Xenopus tropicalis: one gene and its partners. The protein of the gene in region 1 interacts with the protein of each later gene in a pairwise test. Links are inferred from orthologs where the notes say so. Each region holds a gene or a part of one and is shown on either strand. Other genes may lie near its edges.

The links.
Region 2: the proteins of fam168a (region 1) and ube2v1 interact in binary tests that used the Homo sapiens proteins (3 or more experiments, as listed by UniProt). The two-hybrid records come from large-scale screens. The link is inferred for Xenopus tropicalis from reciprocal best matches to the Homo sapiens genes FAM168A and UBE2V1.
Region 3: the proteins of fam168a (region 1) and otub2 interact in binary tests that used the Homo sapiens proteins (3 or more experiments, as listed by UniProt). The two-hybrid records come from large-scale screens. The link is inferred for Xenopus tropicalis from reciprocal best matches to the Homo sapiens genes FAM168A and OTUB2.

The regions. Positions count from the first base shown.
Region 1 is NC_030678.2:173,972,288-173,976,388, reverse strand, and holds the start of fam168a (protein FAM168A), read left to right. Parts: upstream 1-1,186; 5' UTR 1,187-1,350; intron 1,351-4,101.
Region 2 is NC_030686.2:36,460,825-36,465,164, forward strand, and holds the start of ube2v1 (ubiquitin-conjugating enzyme E2 variant 1), read right to left. Parts: upstream 2,905-4,340; 5' UTR 2,807-2,904; coding exon 2,785-2,806; intron 1-2,784. UniProt on the Homo sapiens protein: Has no ubiquitin ligase activity on its own. The UBE2V1-UBE2N heterodimer catalyzes the synthesis of non-canonical poly-ubiquitin chains that are linked through Lys-63.
Region 3 is NC_030684.2:88,154,291-88,158,514, forward strand, and holds the start of otub2 (ubiquitin thioesterase OTUB2), read left to right. Parts: upstream 1-1,320; 5' UTR 1,321-1,341; coding exon 1,342-1,344; intron 1,345-4,224. UniProt on the Homo sapiens protein: Hydrolase that can remove conjugated ubiquitin from proteins in vitro and may therefore play an important regulatory role at the level of protein turnover by preventing degradation.

The DNA.
Region 1 (4,101 bases):
ATTTGCCTACTTGTGTCTGTAAGTTACCCTCCCATATAGATTGTAAGCTCTACGGGGCAGGGACCTCCATCCTCTTGTGTCCTCGACTCTTAACTTATTGCTGATGTATTTATCTGTATTTATTATTATACTTTGTATTTATCTATTATCTTATTAACCCCCTGTTTGTATTAATGTATTCTACTGTACAGCGCTGCGTACATAAGTAGCAATTATAAATAAAGGGTTATGGGAGATAGCTCTCAGTACTAGTTGATCCAGGGACTGGTCCGATTGCCATCTTGGAGTCAGGAAGGAATTTTTTCCCCTCTGCGGCAAATTAGAGAGGCTTCAGATGGGGTTTTTTGCCTTCCTCTGGATCAACTAGTAGTTAGGCAGGTTAGGTATAGGCATTATGGTTGAACTTGATGGACGTATTTCTTTTTTCAACCCAACTTACTATGTTACTATGTTACTATATACATACATACATAAGTCCACCTCACCTCTCAGCTACACAGGAATAAATCCACCTCACCTCTCAGCGGGGAACCCTACAGCTCACGCGCCGCCGCCATGTAACCATTCTCACTCCTCTATATGGAACGTTCATCTGCACAAATGAATCTCGTACAGTCACAAATCCGGGGGAACGTGGGGAGGCCCAGTATTCGCATTGGATCGAGGGGAAGCTGACTGAAATAGAATAAGGACATGAATTAAAGGAGAAATACGCCATTTTCAAAGCTTTGTTAATCCTAAAAGGTTTTGTTCACCTTTAAATTAACTATTAGTACGTAGTAAGGAAGGCGATTCTGAAACAATTAGCACTTGGTCTTCATTTTTTTATTATTTGTGGTTTTTTAACTATTTAGCTTTTTATTCAGGGACTCCCCAGTTTGCAATTTATGCAGCTGTATGGTTGCTACAGTCCAAATTACCCTAGAAACCAGACTATATAGTGTCACTGCCCTCCATCTCCCAGGCAGTGAGTGAGGGAAGGCGGCCCAGTCAGAGCCCTATATAGGGTCAGAGCCAGCCCCGCCCATCTCCCAGGCAGTGAGTGAGGGAAGGCGGCCCCGCCCATCTCCCAGGCAGTGAGTGAGGGAAGGCGGCCCCGCCCATCTCCCAGGCAGTGAGTGAGGGAAGGCGGCCCCGCCCATCTCCCAGGCAGTGAGTGACGGAAGAGAATGTACCGCCCACCCAGGTTATGGCGGAGGTGATGTCACAGTGACAGGCCACTTCCCGCCTCCCCATTGCCGTAGCCCCGCCCCCGCATCTCTGAATGCCCGGAGAGAGGAGACGGACTGTGCAGCCTGACTCACGGACATCCTGCGCTACGGAACGGCATAGCCAGAGTGGAACGGCCCGGTGAGTACGGGGGGCTGCAAGGGACACGGCCTGGGGGCCGGGGAGTCAGTTTGGGGGGTGTAGGGCCGAGACGGGCAGCAGGGCCCCGGGAGAACTGGGGGCGGGGAGAGAGGGGGGGCAGGTGCAGGGGGGTGGGGGGGAGTTACTGTATCTGCCCCATAATAACATAGCCCTGGGGTAGGATTGTGATGTGTGGGGGGAGGGGGCAACTATATATAATTGGGGGGGGGGGGCAGTTCTGTACCCCATGGTATGTTGGTGGCTAGAGGCATGCCGGGATAATGGGGGTCCGTAACCTCCGGGGCAGAGAGGATGCCGGGATTGGAGCGGATTCTGCTGTGTGTGGGGAAGGTTATTGTGTGTGTGTGTGTGTGTGTGTGTGTGTGTGTTAGGTGCAGGCATTGTGGGTAATACTGGGGGTGTCAGGGAAAGAACACTGGGGGGGGGGATGCTGTGTGTGTGTGTGTATAGCCACATGAAAGCACAAACATAATGTATATATGTGTATATGATTTCATGTGTGTGGTTATTATATATATATATGTGTGTGTGTGTGTGTGGGAGGGGGGGGGCGGCTGGCAGTGTTGGTGCTGGGGGAATACTGATGGAGGGATATCAGGCAGGGGGGGGGGGGCAGTGCTTTGATGCTGAGGATGATGATGGTGACGGGGAGGCAGCGCCGGGATGGGTACCGGCCTTATTATATGCTGCTGGGGGGCAAACAACTGCCTATGGGGATTAGGGTTTGTGTCAGGGGTATTTATATGGGTCAGGGGGTGGGAGACTGGGCGGGGGGGGGGATATACATGGGGCTGGGGGTATGGCGCTGTGCTGGGTGATATATATATATATATATACACAAAAAGATCAGCGACACCAGGATTTTTTTTTAGGGAAAAACCAAATGTGTATTTAGCAGTAACACACATAACTGTATTATCTTTGTGCAATGATGTTTTGGTATATGGGTTATTTATTGGGTATTTTGTCCAGTACTGTATGAAGGGGGCTGCTATGGGGGGGGGTACTTGTGAGGGTCTCTGTGATGGAGAGAAATATACTGTTATGGCAGATGATTTCACAGTAGTGACGTGCCAGGCAATAGTATGTAGGGGCCAGTGGGGGGGGGCGGTATGGTAGGGCCAGGGGGGCTGGTATCATAGGGGTGGTATGGTAGTGCCAGGGTGGCGTTATGGTGGGGCCAGGGGGTTGGTATCATGGCGTCAGTATCATAGGGGCAGTATGGTAGGGCCGGGGGGTGCAGTATGGTAGGGCTGGTGCGGTTTCATAGGGGCAGTATGGTAGGGCCGGGGGGCAGTATGGTAGGGCCAGGGGGTTGGTATCATGGGGTCAGTATCATAGGGGCAGTATGGTAGGGCAAGGGGGTTGGTATGGTAGGGCCAGGCGCTCGGTATCATGGGGCAGTATGGTAGAGCCAGGGAGGGGGTCGGTATGGTAGGGGCAGGGGGGTCGGTATGGTAGGGGCAGGGGGGTCGGTATGGTAGGGGCAGGGGGTCGGTATGGTAGGGGCAGGGGGTCGGTATGGTAGGGGCAGGGGGTCGGTATGGTAGGGGCAGGGGGTCGATATGGTAGGGGCGGGATGGTAGGGGCAGGGTGGGCGGTATCATAGGGGCAGGGGGTCGATATGGTAAGGCCAGAGGGTCAGTATGGTAGGGGCAGGGGGGTCGGTAGGGGCGGGATGGTAGGGGCAGGGGGGCCGGTACAGTAGGGGCAGGGGACAGTGTAGCTGGTTGGTACTGGGATGGCGGTTCTGGGATGGGACACAATATAAAGGATTGCTGATGGGGCAGGTAATACTCACGGGGTGCCAATATGAAGGGTTATAATATGGGGGTACTGTAAAGCAGTGCTGGGCAACAGGGAAGATTTCAGGGGGGCTGGTGTGGCCCCGGGCTATTCAGCATTATGTCCCTCGCTGGGAGTAGTGCGGATCCGTGTGCCTTGTGGTTTCTCCAGCCACTGACTGTAGCGCTGCTGTATGTGGGGCCTGGGGGTTATGGGATGTTGTGCGGATACAATAGCAATAGTTCTGGGTTCCAGAACATCATCATGGAGGCCGCAGCTGCACATTAGGGCCATAAATGGCTCCTGGGCCTCCTGTAGGGCTTCATAGAATAATCATGGTGGAGGTATGTGTATCAGTAGTAATGCTGGGGGTGCTGGGAGGGACTTTACTAAAAATTATTTTGGGGGTTTAGCAAATAGTATTTCTCCTTACCTTACTATATGCGCCTCTCTGCTCCTTACCTTACTATATGCCCCTCTCTGCTCCTTACCTTACTATATGCGCCTCTCTGCTCCTTACCTTACTATATGCGCCTCTCTGCTCCTTGCCTTACTATATGCGCCTCTCTGCTCCTTGCCTTACTATATGCCCCTCTCTGCTCCTTACCTTACTATATGCGCCTCTCTGCTCCTTACCTTACTATATGCCCCTCTCTGCTCCTTACCTTACTATATGCGCCTCTCTGCTCCTTACCTTACTATATGCGCCTCTCTGCTCCTTGCCTTACTATATGCGCCTCTCTGCTCCTTGCCTTACTATATGCGCCTCTCTGCTCCTTGCCTTACTATATGCGCCTCTCTGCTCCTTACCTTACTATATGCGCCTCTCTGCTCCTTGCCTTACTATATGCGCCTCTCTGCTCCTTACCTTACTATATGCGCCTCTCTGCTCCTTACCTTACTATATGCGCCTCTCTGCTCCTTACCTTACTATATGCGCCTCTC
Region 2 (4,340 bases), on another chromosome or scaffold:
CCCCCCCCCCCTTTGGCATTACCCTAGCCGAGAAACTGCATTTGTCTTTAAATAAACGAAAGCAAAAGAGAAAGGATTGCATTATTAAAGAAAAAGGAACCAACAACCTGCAACTTGCAGTATCTACATTACAATCCCGAGCATGTATGGATAGCCTGGAGGTCTTTTAGTATCACAAACTATATATTAAAAAAAAAAAAACTGCTAAACCTCAAGGGAAAAGCTGTGAAAGTTACAACACTTCCTATTCGGAAAGGGGGAGGGTGAAACCTGTTGAAGAGGTAAATTCCCTGTTAAATTAAATTACCATGGCATATAGCAATGAAAGCATACATATTAGGAATTAGTTTTTATCCATAAGGAGACATCTAGGCTTGTTGAAATGGCAAATCAAGTTAGTTGCTAGTAATATTTAGAGTGAAGACACACAGAGCTACTAGTAGCAGCTACTTGTCACGGCTACTAAAATAGACAATGCTGATCATTTACTGATAATTGTCTCTATGTGTGTTTTAGCAGAGGCAATTCTCAGTATTGTCTATGGCAGGGGATTTTCTGGAGTTTAATAGCCATGAGAAAGTAGCTGCTACTAGTAGCTTAGTGTGTCTTCACCCTTATACAGGACCCAAACAGTTCTGTTTAACCTGTCCAAACTGAGGCTGAGATTCATGTTGAGACCAGACAGAATGGTCACTTATCTACCAGCTAACTGTACTGCCCAGACTTCAATCTACCTAGAAGGAAGTATTCAAGGGATTCCAGGGCACCTGAAAATAATGCCCTGGGGGTGCAGGACATTGCACGGGCACAGACTGGATGTCTAACATGACAGAATATTAATATGAAGTTATGTATTGTGCTTCCTATAGTGCCCCAGGGAACTAGGGAAGGTGCCAGTTTGTGGCCATAGGATACAGTGCATTAGCTTGATGGAGGCAGCTCCCAGTGCGGGCAGCCATGTTGTTTCCCACGTATGCGATTCACCCTCCTATGTCACAAGCATGCGCATAATGAGCGAGTTGTGGCAGGTACTTGGGGAGCTCGCTCCTGGTGAGGGCAGTCTAGTGCTGCCGGGGGCTTAAAAAAAAAAAAAAAAAAAAAAAAAAAAAAACTACTGTTTCCCCTAAACTGAGTAAAGATGGCCATACGCTGGCTGATTTCAGCTGCCAATATATCAGTCCTTTAGATCCAATGTGCCTGTGTATGGGCACCAACAATCTCCCTGTTTATCTGCCTGTGTATGGGCACCAACAATCTCCCTGTTTATCTGCCTGTGTATGGGCACCAACAATCTCCCTGTTTATCTGACTGTGTATGGGCACCAACAATCTCCCTGTTTATCTGCCTGTGTATGGGCACCAACAATCTCCCTGTTTATCTGACTGTGTATGGGCACCAACAATCTCCCTGTTTATCTGACTGTGTATGGGCACCAACAATCTCCCTGTTTATCTGCCTGTGTATGGGCACCAACAATCTCCCTGTTTATCTGCCTGTGTATGGGCGCTAACAATCTCCCTGTTTAGCTGCCTGTGTATGGGCGCTAACAATCTCCCTGTTTATCTGCCTGTGTATGGGCGCCAACAATCTCCCTGTTTATCTGCCTGTGTATGGGCGCCAACAATCTCCCTGTTTATCTGCCTGTGTATGGGCGCCAACAATCTACCTGTTTATCTGCCTGTGTATGGGCGCCAACAATCTCCCTGTTTATCTGCCTGTGTATGGGCACCGACAATCTCCCTGTTTATCTGCCCGTGTATGGGCGCTAACAATCTCCCTGTTTATCTGCCTGTGTATGGGCGCTAACAATCTCCCTTTTTATCTGCCTGTGTATGGGCACCAACAATCTCCCTGTTTATCTGCCTGTGTATGGGCACCAACAATCTCCCTGTTTATCTGCCTGTGTATGGGCGCCAACAATCTCCCTGTTTATCTGCCTGTGTATGGGCACCAGATCTTGATCGGGCAGGTTTGATTCTTCTGTCGGACCGGGGACCTCATTGATGCAGTCACTGCACTAACGGTGCCTATGCCCACTGTTTTAATTTGATAATTTGGCCCTAGGGTGGGCATATCGGGAGGAGATCCACTCTATGGGCGCCCTCGCCAAGCAAGCGTTTCTTACAGTGTAAGGCCACCTTTAGGCCACACTACTGATGGGGAAACAATTAGAAACTGAATGTAGTGCCTTTTTCTCTAGTCCTGACTGCACTATTAATCCCCTGGTTTCTGCTACATTGCTTCAGGAGTCAGTACCAGCAGAGCACATAGAATTTTCATTTGCCTATGTGGCAAAACCCAGTGGAAGTCAGTGACTATTGGGACGTTGCTGAGTAATTCTTCTGCAATAAATCCTGTTTGTGGGCGGTGTTCCCCTTTAAACGTGTGGCCCTGCAGCTGTCAAACATGTCTGATTGCCCGGCATTAGTAAGGGAGAGCCCAGGCAGCCCTCTGCAGCCGCCCAGCCCGGGGGAACAGCAGTGCAGGCAGGGCCGAGTCTTGTCACTGGCGGATTGGGAGCTGTAACACCTAGTGCTTCCCTCCCAGGCCTCCGGGGGCAGCTGATTCCGCGCTACCGGCACAAGCAGGAACCCGGGGCTCCTGACAGGGCAGAGCCGTGCGGAGAGGTGCGAAGGCCCCGCAGCAGCGCTACCCGGGCCAAGGCACCGCCCCACAGTACAGCAGGAACCCCAGAGAAGCCAGTTCCTGGCCGGCGGTGCAACCTGCCCTCAGCAAGCCCTCCCCCCGCTTCCCTGTCCCGCAGCGCCCCGTCACCCAGCTCACCCGAGACCGTGGTGGCCGCCATCTTGCCTTCGCAGTGCTCCTGAGCCGGCCTCCCAGTGACGCCACACAGGGCGGGGAGCTTCAGCCGGCTGTCAGGCAGGGAGTGGGCGGGGAGAAAGGGCTGACTCACACGCACCATAGAGACGGGAAGAGGCGGCGTCAATACGTCATTACGTGCTGCGTCTTGCGTCATAAACGAGACTGACATGCTTCATAAGGGAAATGTATGAATAGGAAAAGTGTAAATGTGTCAAAAATGAGATAGATATAAAAAAAATAAACTAAATGGGCAAATATATGGCCCAGGTATGTACCTATAGCTAGCTTCTGGGAGCAAAATGTTTTTTTAATCTCTAGGCCTTGTCTTCTTATATTGTATAAATATGTTTGTATTTTACACATTACAGTATGATGGTACAGCTTATTGTGTGATTCTAAATATGTCCAACAACTCACTGCAGAGAAAGAGAGGCTCAGGTGCACTGCCCAAGCCTTTAGCTAAGGGAGTGGATATCATGTTTTTTTTGAAAAAAACTCACTGAGCATATCGTGAGGCAGAATTCTTGATTAAAAAGTAACTTCATTGGAGCTGCCATATTGTTTCCTTTAGTACAGTACAGTATGAGGGTACAGCTTATTGTGTGCCCAGAACATTCCTTCTCTGTATATTTGTATTTATACATATGGGAGGGAGGTGCCATAATGTTTCCCTTAGACAGTACAGTATGGGGGTACAGCTTATTGTGTGCCCAGAACATTCCTTCTCTGTATATTTGTATTTATACATATGGGAGGGAGGTGCCATATTGTTTCCCTTAGACAGTACAGTATGAGCGTACAGCTTATTGTGTGCCCAGAACATTCCTTCTCTGTATATTTGTATTTATACATATGGGAGGGAGGTGCCATATTGTTTCCCTTAGACAGTACAGTATGAGGGTACAGCTTATTGTGTGCCCAGAACATTCCTTCTCTGTATATTTGTATTTATACATATGGGAGGGAGGTGCCATATTGTTTCCCTTAGACAGTACAGTATGAGGGTAGAGCTTATTGTGTGCCCAGAACATTCCTTCTCTGTATATTTGTATTTATTCATATGGGAGGGAGGTGCCATATTGTTTCCCTTAGACAGTACAGTATGAGGGTACAGCTTATTGTGTGCCCAGAACATTCCTTCCCTGTATATTTGTATTTATACATATGGGAGGGAGGTGCCATATTGTTTCCCTTAGACAGTACAGTATGAGCGTACAGCTTATTGTGTGCCCAGAACATTCCTTCTCTGTATATTTGTATTTATACATATGGGAGGGAGGTGCCATATTGTTTCCCTTAGACAGTACAGTATGAGGGTACAGCTTATTGTGTGCCCAGAACATTCCTTCTCTGTATATTTGTATTTATACATATGGGAGGGAGGTGCCATATTGTTTCCCTTAGACAGTGCAGTATGGGGGTACAGCTTATTGTGTGCCCAGAACATTCCTTCTCTGTATATTTGTATTTATACATATGGGAGGGAGGTGCCATATTGTTTCCCTTAGACAGTGCAG
Region 3 (4,224 bases), on another chromosome or scaffold:
CATAGTGGGAAGTATCACTTTTGCCACTCAGCATTAAGCTAGCATTAGTGTTTGGATCTTGGCACACAAGTTTGTTGCTTCTATTGATGCAGCCCACTGTGGGAACCCATGGATCACCGCCGCTTTCAGGGTGCCAACAGTGCTAGGGTTACCTTGCACTCACGCATGATTTTTATAACTAAGGAACAGGGCTCAGTTCAATAGTGCATTACTGTAAGGCATGTGTTTAGATGCAAGTATCTTTAATGAATAGGGTCAGTACGAGCACAGCCTTATAAATGATCATAAATGAGCCCTTATTTCCCTTAAAGCAGGAGCCATGTTAAATCAAAAGAAAATGCAAGCAAAAATACATGTAGGCATTATGCGGCATTTGTTTGGAGCAACATCTGTACTAGATATAAGATAGTTTTCTTGGTTTGAATACCTCCCACAACTCTGGCAAATACTTTAAACACCCAGTTATTAAATAGCTATCCTTATATAGTTTCTTATGATATCCTACATTTTTAAAAGATAAGTAAAACTTAAAAATAAGTTAATGTAAAACTGATGTGAATGCTATTCCAAGCACTCTTGCATTTCACGTTATTTTTTATTTTTTTTGAGATTCAAAGATATTAAGGGGATTGTGTACTGTAAAATATGAATTAATTTTGTTACAACAGCACCACCTGCTGGTCTGTTTCTGACTAATAAATATTTAGAAAGCTCTAGATAACCATCTTTCCTAACCAGAAGAACATTTCTTTCACCTATTTCCTTGACTAGATCATGGTAGAAAACAAACCAGCAGATGGCACTGTAGTAACGAAATGTGATTTGTATAGATAAGCAAGGCGATCACAAGAGCTCCTGTGTTAAATAAGTGTATTAGAAAGAGGGAGTCCTCCTCGCAAGCACTATTTTACACCAAAGTGACATCATTAAATTAAAAAGTTAGCGTTGCTGAACTAAAAGTACGACATCACTGACGCTAAACAGCCGCGCAAGGCCAGTCAGTGCTGAATGGTCACTACACTAATAAAGGGTTATACACGTCCTTATCATTTCCTGCCTGGTACTGTTACAGTGCGGGATTGCTTTTGCGTTCAGCCTCAACCCCTAATTACTTTTCGTATACTCCCTCCCTAACAGTATCACAAGAACATTAAACAGCCCAAAATAGAGAGAATCTCTCCACTGCTCTTTAAACGTCGGTCGACGCTTTTCTCCGCCCTGCGCAAGGACGCACGTATGTTACGTTGAAGTGCCCGCGCTTGGAGGCGTGGTTAGTAGGCAGGCGGGCGGGGCTGGAAGAGATCTAACAGTAGTGAATAGCCGACACGGAGCTGAGAGACAATGGTGAGTGTACTGTAAGGTGTAGAGAGAAAGGCAGGATACCGAAGCAGGGCTTAGAGTAGCGGCCATTTCATTTTGCTGAGCCACTTACGTTATTGTTAACGATATTGCTGCTGGAGTAATTAATACTTGTCATAAAGATAAACTTTAGGAAGTGCAACTTAAAGGGATACTGTCACCATTTTATGGTGTACCTTTTATGTCTAAATTACACTGTTTACATAGCAACAAATTCACATTTTACTCTTGAAGCAACACATGTATTTTTTAGCTGTGTAGGCAGCCATATCAGTGCATTGTGCCTGAGTCTGAGCTTTCAGAAGGAGCCAGCGCAACATGTTTGAACTGCTTTCAGGTAACCTATTGTTTCTCCAATGTAACTAGAGGAGTCCCAAGCCGGACTTGGATTTCTTACTATTGAGTGCCATTCTGATATCTACTGGGAGCTGCTATCTTGCTCCCTTCCCATTGTTCTGCTGATCGGCTGCTGGGAGGAGGGTGATATCACTTCAACTTTCAGCTCAGTAGTAAAGTGTGACTGAAGTTTATCAGAGCACAGGTCGCATGGCTGTGGCACCCTGGGAAATGAGGAATATGGCTAGCCCTACGTGAAATTTCAAAATTAAATATAAAAAAAATCTTTGTGTTTTTGAAAAACAGATTTCAGTGCAGGATTATATCGGAGAATCTCTAAACACTGATGTGTTTTGAAAAACAACATGTTTTCCAATGACCGTATTCCCTTAAAGGAGACATTTTGGATAAATGGGATAAACCCTAGTTTTGTAGGCAATTATGAATAATATACGGTGCTGGTTTCCCTTTGGGCTAAACATTAACCCTATCTGTAACAATGGCCCCCTGTAATTGGAGCTCCCTATAGATTGCATCACTTCTCCCTCCAGTGTGAAATGAAGAGTGGGCGTGTCCTAACAGTCCCTGCCAGAAGCACAGTAGGAGGGGAGAGCCAATCACAGCCCTGCAGTCACACAAGCACAGACAGGCTTCAGTTCCCTATCAGGTCAGCCTAGCTGCTGATTGGTTCCTATCCTACAGTGCAGGGTACGGCGGGCCGCCGGCTCCCCAGCTCATCCAGAGAATTCAGCCAGCAGGAAGTGGCACAGATGGGCGGGACTAGTGGGGTTTTTGTGGAATTTCTCAATAAATCAGTCAGAAACACAACTTTTTAAGCACAATCCTTCTATATCTAGAGGAGTATAATTCACTGGTACATTCATAATTTTTATAGGATATGTCTCCTTTAAAGTAGCTTGTCAATTCAAAAAAGAAAAGCAATTTTCTAATATTTTAATTTGGTTGAAGTTATTAGTAAACATAACTTTTACTGATAGCAGTGTATCTGCAGTAATATAGCAGAAGCCAGCTGATTAATCCCTCTCAGGAGGCACAACCTTTGTTAATTGAGGTCAACTATATTAAGAATATTAGCCCTGAATTTCTCCCTTATTTACTGTCATGTGAAAAAGTAGTACACCCTATGTAAAGTTTTTTTTTTTTTTTTTTTTAACATATGGGAATGTCAATATTTGATATTCTTTCACATAGTATATACAGATAGATACAAAACACAAAAACAAAGAAAATGGAGTTTCCAATCATTCATTAAATTAAATTTATCTGAAATAAGTAAGTACACCATTGGCTGTAATACTTGGGATTGCCCCTTTTGGCAGAAACAACCTCAAGTAGGAGTTTCTTATAATTGCTTGTAACATAAATCAGCAGAAATGGTCTTCTACTCCTCCATTAATCATTTTTTCAGTTGCCCAATCATGATTTTATTGCATGCACATCATTTTTCAAAAGCCCCGTAAACTGAGGTATTTAGATCTGGGCTTTGACTTGGCCATTCCGCAATGCTCCATTTCCTTTTCAGCTATTCCTTGGTGAGTTTACTGGTATAATTAGGGTCATTTTCATGTTGTAAGGTCCACTTTCAAGTGAGCTTTAATCTTCTGACACTTGGTCTTATATTATCCAGAAGCACACTTCAGTACAATGAAGGACTCATAGTGGATTCTGTGATGATGAGTTGGCTAGACCTTTATTCAGTAAAGCAGCCCCAAGAAGTCCTGAACTTTGCCTAGGTGTTCATGAGCAAACTTTAGTCTTTCCGTGATGTTTCTTCTTGGCACACCCTTAATGTAGATGTAATTTGTTTAATGTTAGACTTTTTGACTTTGACATCAAATCAAAGGTTTAAATAATTCATCAGAGATCCTCTTTAACAATGTTTTCATCGTTTGTACCTGCACTGGTGCCTGATTCTAATTGTAGTTATCTGAGCTAGCAATAAATGTAGGATTGTACTTGTTACACATGTGCAATTTGCTTATTTAACTTACACAGTGGAATAAAAAATATGAATGGTATGCAAAATGTGTAAATATATAATGAATTTCAAATATCTATATGTGAAATGTGTTGAATGTCAGATATTGCTAAGGGGTTTACATTTTTTCATGGTTGTGCCTCCAACCTAGACTTTAAGGTGCATCTAACTTGGCAAACAGGCTTGCTGTTTACGTTTTTCCACACATACACTCGTCAATTTGCTATCTTACCATGGGCCCATGTCTCATACACATGCATGCCCACCTAACTATTGTTGGGGAACTACAGAAAGAGGAGCTGTTGCTCCGGTAAACTTAATTTGCGATATGTTACACACTTTCCATCATGGGGCAATATCAAATTAAATTTTCAAATGTCTGTGCATCTGTGATCCTGTAAAATTGCAGTATGATTTGTCAAAAGAGCTCTCCAACTTGGCATACTACTTGTACAGATGCTTGGACAGCATGGTCAAAATTGGTCGAACGGCCTGATAAAATCTAGGAATTTATGTATAGCCAGCTTTCT